Linked DNA regions of Bombyx mori. The protein of the gene in region 3 binds, or shares a complex with, the protein of the main gene of each other region. Links are inferred from orthologs where the notes say so. Each region holds a gene or a part of one and is shown on either strand. Other genes may lie near its edges. The genes, in order: transmembrane protein 231, transmembrane protein 216 and transmembrane protein 17.

What was found.
Region 1: transmembrane protein 17 (region 3) and transmembrane protein 231 share a complex: the UniProt entries of both Homo sapiens proteins name them as parts of the tectonic-like complex. The link is inferred for Bombyx mori from reciprocal best matches to the Homo sapiens genes TMEM17 and TMEM231.
Region 2: transmembrane protein 17 (region 3) and transmembrane protein 216 share a complex: the UniProt entries of both Homo sapiens proteins name them as parts of the tectonic-like complex. The link is inferred for Bombyx mori from reciprocal best matches to the Homo sapiens genes TMEM17 and TMEM216.

Annotation. Positions count from the first base shown.
Region 1 is NC_085110.1:12,598,664-12,602,733, reverse strand, and holds transmembrane protein 231, read right to left. Parts: upstream 2,856-4,070; 5' UTR 2,837-2,855; coding exon 2,698-2,836; exon of another isoform or gene 2,654-2,697; coding exon of another isoform or gene 2,620-2,653; intron 2,523-2,619; coding exon 2,353-2,522; intron 2,180-2,352; coding exon 2,051-2,179; exon of another isoform or gene 2,006-2,050; intron 1,911-2,005; coding exon 1,682-1,910; intron 1,032-1,681; coding exon 772-1,031; 3' UTR 635-771; downstream 1-634. Other genes in the region: mitochondrial import inner membrane translocase subunit Tim21, read left to right, coding at 1-68, 242-388. UniProt on the Homo sapiens protein: Transmembrane component of the tectonic-like complex, a complex localized at the transition zone of primary cilia and acting as a barrier that prevents diffusion of transmembrane proteins between the cilia and plasma membranes.
Region 2 is NC_085132.1:4,411,466-4,414,774, forward strand, and holds transmembrane protein 216, read right to left. Parts: upstream 1,712-3,309; 5' UTR 1,580-1,711; coding exon 1,336-1,579; intron 1,157-1,335; coding exon 963-1,156; 3' UTR 557-962; downstream 1-556. Other genes in the region: mRpS10 (mitochondrial ribosomal protein S10), read left to right, coding at 188-449. UniProt on the Homo sapiens protein: Part of the tectonic-like complex which is required for tissue-specific ciliogenesis and may regulate ciliary membrane composition.
Region 3 is NC_085116.1:10,340,929-10,345,296, reverse strand, and holds the start of transmembrane protein 17, read right to left. Parts: upstream 2,908-4,368; 5' UTR 2,680-2,907; coding exon 2,545-2,679; exon of another isoform or gene 2,330-2,544; intron 2,231-2,329; coding exon 2,117-2,230; intron 1,772-2,116; coding exon 1,551-1,771; exon of another isoform or gene 357-1,550; coding exon 326-356; 3' UTR 272-325; exon of another isoform or gene 1-271. UniProt on the Homo sapiens protein: Transmembrane component of the tectonic-like complex, a complex localized at the transition zone of primary cilia and acting as a barrier that prevents diffusion of transmembrane proteins between the cilia and plasma membranes.

The DNA.
Region 1 (4,070 bases), on a different chromosome or scaffold from region 3:
ATATGAGAATGAGATTCTATATTAAAGGGATAAGAAATAAAGGTGTTGTTGAACTTGATATGAAACAAGTAAGTTCTGTTTAAATAGAAATGTGTTTAACAACTTAAAAGTTCAAATAACACCATACATCTGAATAATTTGTATACACCTCATCAATTTCTTATAATCTCTGTTTAAAATTTTCTATTTTAATAAATTCATTTAAAATCTTTCCAATTCACCAGTACACTTGTTTTTTCAGAATGATTATGGAAACTATATGTGCAGATATTTGCTGGTACAACTTGATGACTACAGTGGAAAAACATTTATAATTGAGGACAACCGAGCTGAATTAGATAATACCAAACCTGATATCGCATTTCCAACCTTAACTCTCACTCAGTGATATAAAATTAACTATGTAACATGTAAATAGTAAAGTAGATATCGAATAAATGATTAGCAAAATAAAATTGTTTCGTTTCATATTATTATGTAAAGTTTTAGTTTAAAAAATAATAAATATAGTGAGCACTTTCATATTGAAATCTTTTAAATATATAGAATACTATACCTTCTTCTGACACCATAAGAATAGTTTTGGAATATGAATCTTATTAATTAAATTCTTTGAGCCAATGAAACTTAATGCTTATAATATCATTTTATTGCAAACATTAAAACATGTTTATCCTTATTAATAATTAAAGTGAATTTTACAGTGAAGACTAGAAATTGGCACAAATCAATTATTTCGCAGTACAATTTTATAGATCTTACATAAGTTCGTCATTCAAATGTTTTCCAAGATTGTACTTTCCATGACATGAGAAGTCGATTGGTAAATATAAATTCCTTAACTTTATTGAAGAACCAATGGAATATCACTACAAAAGAGAGATATTGAGGCCAAGCCCACTTAAACTCTTCTAGTATACTAGGAGTGTATCTTATTTGCATCTCTGGAATTCTTAGATGAACTTGAACAGTCATAGAATCTGTCTGGCCATTGTAGGTTCTAGAATTTATCGTTCTGACTTCTGTGGTAACTGAAAATAGTTTATTTTTTGGTTATGAATGTAGTTGAATAAATATGCTGTAGGTTTACTTATATCAGTGGTTACTGGACTCTGGTAACATTAGAACTTGAATGCTACTCTGCAGATCACATTAGGCTGACGTATCAATAAAGGCAAACCCACACTTCAAACTGAAATTAATGGCAGCAGCAGAACCACAGAAATAATAGCAGAACTGTATAACTGATTTGTAACTGGTATGGACTTTCAATGCGCCCGAATGGTATAGTAATTTGGGATAACCAGGAAGTTTAGATCTACTGTGGATAGATTATGAAAAATAATAGACAAACTATTATCAAGTAACTTTCTTTGGCCTATTATCTAGCTGTTGAAAGAATGAATACCTGATTAGTTTTGATCCAATGGACAGTGGAGCATTATGTTTTTTATTAAGTAACTTGAGTTTATTTGCCTTACTAAAGAAGGATTATCATTGATAATCAAATCTTTATTAACTCAGGATAAATGTTACAATTTTGTGTTAAAATTACTGTAGGTTTATGGCCTTCTGTCTGTGGCTGCACAACAATAGCCATTATTTTTGTCTTCAATGCTGTTACCAATATTAAAATATGAATAAGCACAAAATGTATATTTGTAAAAATAAATAATCTTACCTTCTCTATGAAAATAATCAGACAGATAATGATCAATAGACATGTAACTTTCCCATTTTTCAATTTCAAATAAAGATCTGTTATATTTCGTATCTTGATTAAACCATTCACAAGGTAAGTGGGTGGTTTGATAAAAATTTAGATCTCCATGAAAAATTAATTCTGATGGTGGTATTACAAACTCTTTGGTAATCAATGCCAAGCTCTGCATTTGTAAAGGGCATATTGTCTGCAAGAAGAAAACAAAAGGATTCTATTAAAGTATTTGTTCCATATTTAAAGCACCTATTTATAAAATATAAATAAACAGAAAAGATTTAGTACCTTTTTTTATTAAATATCTAAAATGTCAAAAATAGTTAAAAATACCTTCAGCTGAAAATCAAGAGATAAAATTAATAAAATAGAAGACACAGTTCTGTCTGGTGGTATATTTAGGTGAAATTTAATATACAGCTCATCCTTTTTGCCATCTCCAGTGAAATCATTTTCTTGAACCTGGAAATACATGTTTTTAATAATTTTATTCATCAAAAACTGTAGTTGGTCATGTTATCAGTATAAAATGTACTACACAGTGTATTTAGTCTTATTTCATAACAAACTCATTGTCTATATAGTTATGTAATTTGTATTTACACAGTACAATTCTTTCGATAAAAATTCATTACCTGCATTTCTGCACATGATTCAGAGCTTTCTTCATTATCATTACCAAACAATCCAATTTCTGTACAAAGTATGGGTTTACTGGGATCCTCAGTTTCGGCTATTAGTACATACTCATACGTAAAATGAACAGTTGGCTGTTCATAAAAACTGTGATATTTCACCCAGAGCCCTGTAAAAATACATATTTGTATTACGATCTTATATTTCGATATCTATTCGGTAATTACTGGCTATTTCAAATAATTTAATTTTAACGATAATAGGACCGTTTCTGTATACTGTTAAGTATTTTCTGGACATGGTTCACTCAGCTGATTTTAGCAAGGCTAAATTGGAGTTCTAACCTCTACTTTTCTGAGCTATAATAAAAGGCAGTATAATATTTAAGATAGACGTAAAAAGAGTAAAGAACATGGCTTTGGAAAGGAAGGTACTTTTATACTGTATTTCGACATTTGAACTAAACAATTTGTACAAGCTCATTTTAAAATATAAAATTTACAGTGTTTTCGGTGTACTAATATGCGTAAAATGTTAAATATCAATAGCATTGACCTGCAAAACAAACCGTTGCTAAGCAACGACTTTTTTAGGGCAGAGGGTTTTTCTGAATTATTTTACAATTAAATGCAAACTTTAAATTCCTGAATCAAAAATATATATGTACTCTAGAAGCGTTAAATTAAGGAATATAAAGAAATAATGATTCAACATCAACTGGTCAAAGGGCGAGCTATAGCTCTCGTTTACATATATAGAATTTTTCTACTCTTTGATTCTAGGATGGTTTATGATCATTTTAGCAATCATAAATCTTTACTGGTCGTGGAGCTTCGTGTGAGTCCATACTTACATCACCCTGCCTATTTCTACCGCGAAAAAGTAATGCATTCCAGTTTGAAGAGTGGGGCAGCCGTTATACTATAACATTGAGACATCAACCTCATATCTCAAGGAGGGTGGGACGCTATTAATGTCGTGATGTCTATGGGCTCCCGTAACCACTCAACTCCAGCTAAACAGTAAGCACGTTCACCAAATTATGAAAGATTAGATTTTTTCTGAGAACGGAGTCCAAAATTCTTCAATATTGATACGAGTTCTCTTCAGAGACACTCAGTAAGAAGTAGATCCGACCTTACGCTTCTAGAGTCAGAATAAATAGGTGTTTATCGTTTATTTTTAAAGAATAAAATATATATTTTATTATTGTAAAATTTTCTACATGCACCATAGCTTAATGTTAAGACGCCCAGGGTTGTGGTTGAAGGCATTTGTGTTGTCTATTGGCCTAAACGACCATTTAATCTTACGTGAACTCATTCATTCATCTACGAAAGTGAACTATCTTTTTCAGCAAGGATCCTGGCGTAGACAAAGGGAGGGAGGCGGGTTTGGTTCATAATGCCGGCCATTCAAACGGACACTTCGTTTCAAGGTGCATATGAATTAAGCTTTTCCGCCAATACAGTATTTAATATACTATTAAATATATACCTATTAGCTTTCTAAATGTTCCGGTACCCTAGTGAACTTTTATGTACTTTTAATATTTAAGTGCACTATGAAAGTCCCGCGTTTTGATGTTTTGAATTCACTGACATCTACTCACTGTAACTTATATTGGTATTATATTCTAATATTAACTCTCAATGACGGGTAATAAGATGGTCAATTTAATATGGAAAATACTTAATAATAAGTAACAAGACAAAAA
Region 2 (3,309 bases), on a different chromosome or scaffold from region 3:
CTCTGGTTATCACTTAAAACTACATGTACCTTATACCTGTACTAGTAATGAAATAATGAAATATAGGGAGATAGAGGCATTTGAAGATGATTTATTACAATTTAAAATTTTACCCTTCATATTAAAGATTTAAATTTAAGTTATTAGTGCTAAAAGAGATACTACTAGTTAGTTTTATTTTTTTCAGTTGGGCACTAAGGAAAGCAGAGAAAGAAAGGCACACACTTTTAAAATGTGTACACATTTACAAGAAACACAAAGTGCAGTATGAAATTCGTACATACTTCAGGTTTATACATATGCAGAGGCTCACTGGATCTACGTGCGACACATATTTGGAATATATCGAACGGAATCTGCCAGAAGGTTGTGCGTTGAAAGTTACAAAAATTGAATGTCAAAAGTTACCTGAACATTTAGTACCGCCTAAGAAAGAAAGCGAAGAGTGAATTGCCATTGTAATAATTTAGAATAAAAATAAATTAGTTAAATGTTATTTAGTTTAATACTTTATTTTTCACCAACTCTAATTTATAAATATTAAAAATCAATAAAATTAAATTAAATATATTTAATTAACAGACACATAAAGATCAAAAGCCAACTTTGAACATTAAAGTTAAAAAAACAGTCTTAATTTACATGTTGCTCTTGATTTTATTCAAAGCGGTATAATATAATAAGATGATCACAGTAATTCTAATGCAGTTTTCACAAAGGGGATTACTAATGTTACAAATGGCTAGAAACATAAAAATGCAGACTAGTAAATATAATGTTACCAGATTAACAACAAAGTAAGGAGAATCATAAGGCATGAGATTATATTTTTTCACATGTTTCTAACTTTTAGTAATCCTAGTTTACTACACAAGAGTAATTACAATGATCAAATTGAATTAATGCTATATTTAATAAAAATATGGAATGTTTGCAATATTTGAGGTTCAGGTTTTCATTATTTAATCAAATTGTTGATTTTTACATACAGTAAAAATAAATAAGATTGCAAAAGCAAACTCGAGAGCATGGAACATTAACATGACGGCACACCAGATGTATTCCAACCGAAGTATGTAAGTTTGATAAATTAGAAAATAACATACTCCTACAGCAGAGGGAATCGTCAATAGCACTGACAGAAAGACCGGTATTTCTGTAACAAAAACATTGTTAACATATTATGGTGAAAAGTAACATTGAACGAAACGAAAATAGTTTCTATTTTAATTTACTTAAGACACAAAATATTTTTTTGCGATTTAGTACATATTCCGTACAACAACGAATCTTGAAATATATTTTTGCAGAATATTGAATATATACGATACTTACTTTTGCTTGCTAAGTTTCCTCTACGCCCCAAAAAGATCCTAATCATCTCTACAAAGCATAGGGCGCTAAATATTCCGGCTTCTGTTAATAGAGCGTTTTCTGGATACGAAACATTTATAGCCTTCAATATCCCCATTGCGACTTCACAAACGATAAACATTCCTAAATAAAAACTGTTCAAATACAGTAATATCTCATAAGCCAAACTCGAATTAACGTTTGTTACTTTCGACATTTTTTCCATATTTTATAAAATTGTACGAATGTATTGAAAAGTTTCTAAATTGAGAGGAGGCTGTTTCGAGGTTTCGTATGTAATAAAAATCAATGTTTTTGTTTACACTTTTTGAAATTTGTAGTAGTAGTAGTTTTATTTTTTCAATTGGAAGGGCACAGGTATCATACCATACAGCCAAATCTTTTATATATTAAAAAAATTAAAAAATATATTATTAATATGAAATGAAAAGAAACGAAGTTGATTGATTTGGAACATTAATCAATTGGCAATTGGCAAATTAAATGAAATGATATGAGATAATATAGAATGAAATATATTGTCAGTAAAATGGTGGTTAATTACTGAGACTTTCTCAATGGAATTTTCGGAGAATCCTGAAAAGTAACGTCCAGCGACTTTTTTTCATTTTCCCACATTTGTGCACTTCCACAGATACTAAACAGTTAATAAATCACCGCTGTTACATATTTAAACCTAAAGAAACATTAGATATATAGACAATACTGAGATAATACATGAGATTGACAATACAACTACATGAGAAATACATGAGACTGACAATATAACTATATTGAGACCTTAGAACTTATATCTCAAGGTGGGTGGCGCATTTACGTTGTAGATGTGGATAGTCGTAGATAGATTATGGGCTCCAGTAACCACTTAACTCCAGGTGGGCTGTGAACTCGTTCACCCATCTAAGCTATAAATAAAAAAAAGCTCTTTGCTATATTATAGCGCCCAGTAAATATTTGACTACTACAAGGCTTTTTTCTGTGTTATTTACACTAAAACTGTGTTTTTATTTAGAGAAGTCTAAAAGCTCACGGTTCGTCTGGTGTAAAGTGGATACCAAACACCAAACATCATAAGAATAATGGCGAACCCACCTTTAGACATGATGTCAGAGTTTCAATTTTATTATATAACAGCTGATCCATCCTTCAAATGCATAACTGCTTTGCGGTAGAAATGGGCAGGATCATTATTATATCTACTCATACGGGCTTCCAATACGTCCTACTACCTGTAACCTACCAGTAAATTATCAATATTTTTATTGCTTCGAGATGGACAGACTAACTTCAACCCGACTCTTCATACTGGAACACCTTACTGGCTTGCGACAGATATAGCTATACAATACGCTTTGAGAACAATAAATGCGGTTTGATGAATACAGTATGCTGGTTAAGAAATCGCATCTCGGCCTCAAATAGTGCTTTAAGACAAAAAAAGAAATGGTCATTTATAGTTTATTATTTAATTTAATTTTATAAATACCTAACACTTTTTCACTTTTTTTTTAATTAACAAATTTAATCAGTATTTTATACGGGTCACTCACATTCACTCGAATACCCAAACCCGCAAGTGTAGGACGACATTTGCAAATGAATAAGCAAAGTTTTCGCTGCATTTGTGGTTTTCCAAGCTGTGTCGGTTTTTTAACAGACATCAAAGCGCGCGAACCGCGATCCTTCGCGAAGCCTCCCACACATTCGTGTGACCAGTTGCGCCCAGGATTGCGAAGGTAGCGGACGTTTCGCTATTTTCATAGATCGTGACGTCTACTGTGTAGCGTATCTTCATCAAAAGAAATTCCATAAAAACAGCATGGCTGTTAATGATGTCTGGGAAAGAATTCAAAACTCTTTTTCTCTTCAATGTTCTATTGACGAATTAAAAAGGAGGAGAAATTCGTGAGACATTCGTAAACAAGTGTAGGAGGA
Region 3 (4,368 bases):
AGGTAAATGTTAATCGGAATCGGAGAAAAAAATCTTAATGTGGACAAATAAAACTCCTGCAATTCAAGCTGCCTTAAAAGTAAGTACTTTGGCACTGAAAGATTAAAACGATGTCTTACGGTTTACTATGGCAACATTTCAAAGGAGGAGTTAAATGCAGTCTTCATCACAAATACTGAGTTATAGAACATAATTTCCGTTAAAAATTTTGTTCGTGGAAAGTTAACATCACTAGTCAGATTGTTCCAAAATGAATTTGAAAATGTCGAACCTTTACATTTAAACACTGTACTTTGTAGATCCATTCAACTGTGTCAAAATTATATCATTTTTCCCTTGAAGTTTTCCCAGTGTTTCTACAAATAAAAAACCAGTGCCTTGAAGAGTTTAATGGCAAATACAAATATTTAAATATGAATGTTGAAAACCATTTTAATGAAATCTTATATATTTTGATACCAATAATAAATTTAATAAATATGAGTCAGAGTATTGATTTACTTTTATATGAACGGAGAAGTTTTCTGTATTCCATTTTGTTTGAAGTAGTTACTTAAGAAAAAGTGCAATCATTATTTTAAAGTTATGACTAATATTTTTTGTGTGCTTGACGCTATTTTTTAAAGTTGAATGTAATTTATGACAGTATTGTTTAAAAAAAACTTAATTTACTTTTGTAATTAACTATTATATAACAAGCTATGTTAAATAATTATATTTATGTTTATTATGCCAAAGCTTTGCTAAATAAAGCAATTTTTATTAAATATCTTAAGATATGGTTCCAGCATCAAATGTATTATGACAATAAAGTCTTTTCATTTAAAGTATGTTTCATTTAAAAAACTTTGGTCATTATGCCATAATGACTGATCTGTTTTGTCATGGTTAAAATTAGCATGAACGCACATTCATCCTGGTTTTAAGTGGTTATTGTAAGTATATCAACCACATATTAAATGAGAGTGCTTTGAAGATTGAATTTTCATTGCATTGATACAACAGCTGTTCTATCTGTTCAAAAGAGTACATGCAAGAGTAGTTATCATACCCATCAGTGCCCTAAAGCATGAATTAGGCTATTAGGGAAAAAAAATTTTTTTTTTTTTTTATTAAGCATATGGCATGACCCACCTGATGGGCATAAGTAGCCTCTATCACTCATGGATATCAGCAATGACAGGGAAAACAAAGTTGCTGCCTATGTTTTGTTTGTTTTAAAAACTCAACCCATTAAGGTTTATTTTCTAATTTTAATAAATGAAAAATGTATACTGCGTTTACCTTTGTTTCAAATTAAGAAATCTAAAGTTATGAAATATATAGATATCCTAAGTCTCTTTGCAAAAGAAATTTGATTTTCGATAAAAAAAAGGACATAACAAAAAATGCTTTTTCACATTGACAATGCTATTATTTAATGTTTTGTATTTATCATACCATGATTAGTGCTCATACTAATTACAGTCTGATACTATATAAATTATGCTGCATTCTACCATAATATTACTACAATATTACCTTATATTTTTACTACTCTACTAACTCACTGATTCTGAGTTGTGGACAGGTAAATGCTTTTAGCTAGAGAAGAAGCTTGTTTTAATGCTCTAAACCCGTACACAATCTCAATAATAGTAGTCATCCAAAACATAGCATGCAGCGTTATTTCTGTTGGTGTACTCAGCAAATATGGATGAAAAAGGAAGAAGCTAACTAGTGGCATTTGCATTAAAATTGTCAACATGAGGAATACAGCTAATTCTGGAACCTAAAAAAAAATAGTATATTACAAATTATTATTTTGACTAAATTTTCCTTTTGGGTCCGTCGATTTGGAAGTTCACAATATCTTTGTAGCTAGTACTCATAAATAAAAAGCTTTTTACAAAATTGCAAGACTCACGGTTTACGAGATATAATTTTTTAAAGTTCCCATAAATATTAGTATTTTTAAACAATTTTCTTCCTATTACATTCTGTTATTTATACTATTGTTTTTGTAAATCTCTGCCACTAAGGTATTAATTAATATTCAATGACTTAATGTTAAGGACTGGCAAATGTTTTTATTTTGTCACATAATTAGTAGTAATAACTATGGCTAATTACTTACTCTGCAAGACAAATTTCCATATCTACCAAGGTACAATCGTACAATTTCTATTCCAGATAGTAGCAAAAAAACTGTAGCTGATAAGTATTTTGTCAGGTGGCTAAGTTGATCAAACTGCAAAAATAATTTTTAAAACGCTTAATTGTTTAATTTTTTACACAATGCATATTTCTGTTTGGAAAGTTACTTCAATTTAGTTACTTTGTTCCTCACTTTTTGAAAAATAGTAGTGTTTTATTTTATCACCAGATCTGAATTAAAGGAATGCCATTGTATTGCTGATACATCACTGTCAGCAAATTAATTTAAGTCCTATGAGATCAGGGAGCCCCAAATCTTTTAACTGAGATCTCGTATTACGTTTCCTATTCATAATAAATAGGATAATTTCTAAGTACAGTGAACACAGCTTAGATTTTAAAGTATACCTTCATAAACAAGAAAAACCCTGTCACAAAACACCAGAGAACAAATAGATTTATTTTAAAGTACAGACATTTCTGCAAACGTAGCATAGTTTTATACTCCATTGAAATGTTTAAATGTACAAAAGTACAAATCATAAATTTTTAGTCAAAGTTTATTTATTAGTTATCCACATAGGATTTATTGAACTTTAACAAAATGCCGTTTATTCATTTAATACTTTATCAGCTTTACTCATAGATTATACACTTAATATATTTGCTTTACTCTTTGTTATTGTTTTGTTTTGCACATTTTACAGTTTGTTTGCGTTTTTTTAATTCGTTCACTGGATACGCAAATGTATAGCCCATTAAACAAAAATTGAAATAAAGGCTGATAAGTATTTAAAATGTAAAATGAAACGAAATAAAATAAAATACGTCATTACTTTACATGTTTTTATTCTTTTATTGCCTTAGTAGGCCAACGAGCATATAGCTCACCTGATGATAAGTGGTTACCGTCGCTCATGAACGTCAGCAATGCCAGGGGCATAGCCAAGTCGCTATCAATCATTGAATAGGTAGGTGTAGGTCCTCCAGGCCGCGTTTGATGAAGGACATATCGTAGCGCTCGAGAAACACCGTGGAGGAGAGTTCATTCTAGAGCCAGGTGGTACACAGCTGAATGATCTCTGGAAACGCACTATCGATGAACACAGCGGTTCCAGATTGTATGGATGAAATCTGCTCCGGTGGCGGGAAGTTTTTTTTTATTGCTTAGATGGGGGGCCAAGCTCATGGCCCACCTGTTGTTAAGAGGTTTCAAGCGATCCGTGAGAATGAGATTATCGACAATCTGAGTGGTCTGTCTTTGTATGGGGTCAAATGGTACCTACTACCTGGTAGCCTTGGCCCAGTGATGGGCCTCACGTACTCCACGTGAAGCTGGACTTGTGCTTTGTAAAGCGCAAGTCCAGGCGTGAAATTGAGGACTTCGAACATTTTAGAGGCTAATTTGGCTTTATCTTCCAAATGACTCCAATATCGTACACCGCTCGAAATATCGAACCTAAGAATATACTCGCAGAAAGCTGCAGGCAGGGATACTCAGGGAATATACGAAAGTTGTAAGGATGTATGGCGTGACACCTTCGCCTTTCCAGTTGGTTAAATGGAACTATTATTAATACTACCTGACGATAAGGAGAGAGGCGGGAACCTTCAAAAAATTTGGGACGGAACTTGAGAAGAGGGCCAATAAAAAAATTCATATCCTTTTTAATTAATTTAATTTGATATTCTGTAGATATTGTAGCATATTTTAGTTTATAACTGTATATATGTTTAGTTTATAATTGTATATTTTAGTACTTTAGCGTAGATAGTATGGAGTTGGAGGCGGGAACGGATCCCCCGGATCCGAATATTACTGAGGAGACAACTGATACGACTAACTCAAGGTTTAGCCAACCAATATTTTTCTGTGATGAGTTCGACCTTTCCAATGTATCTGAATTTGTCAACGTTAAATCGAAGAAATCCCAAAAAAAGAAACAACTTGTTAATTCTTTTAAACCAAAGATCTCGGACAAACAACTTTCGTTGCGCCCGCTGCAGCAGGCTTTGGCGGGAAATCTTGCAAATAACGTAAATAAGCTTATAGTGCCTCCTCGCCAAATTGTACAGACCTCACCAGAGCCTACTTCAGCGAGTCCTTCTATGACACCATCTGAGACCCCAATGGCCGACTCTGTTTACAGAAAAAAATACACTGAACAGGATCCTGGCCCATATATGGTCCATGTTACTTTAATCTCAGATTCTAATAGTACTACATCACTG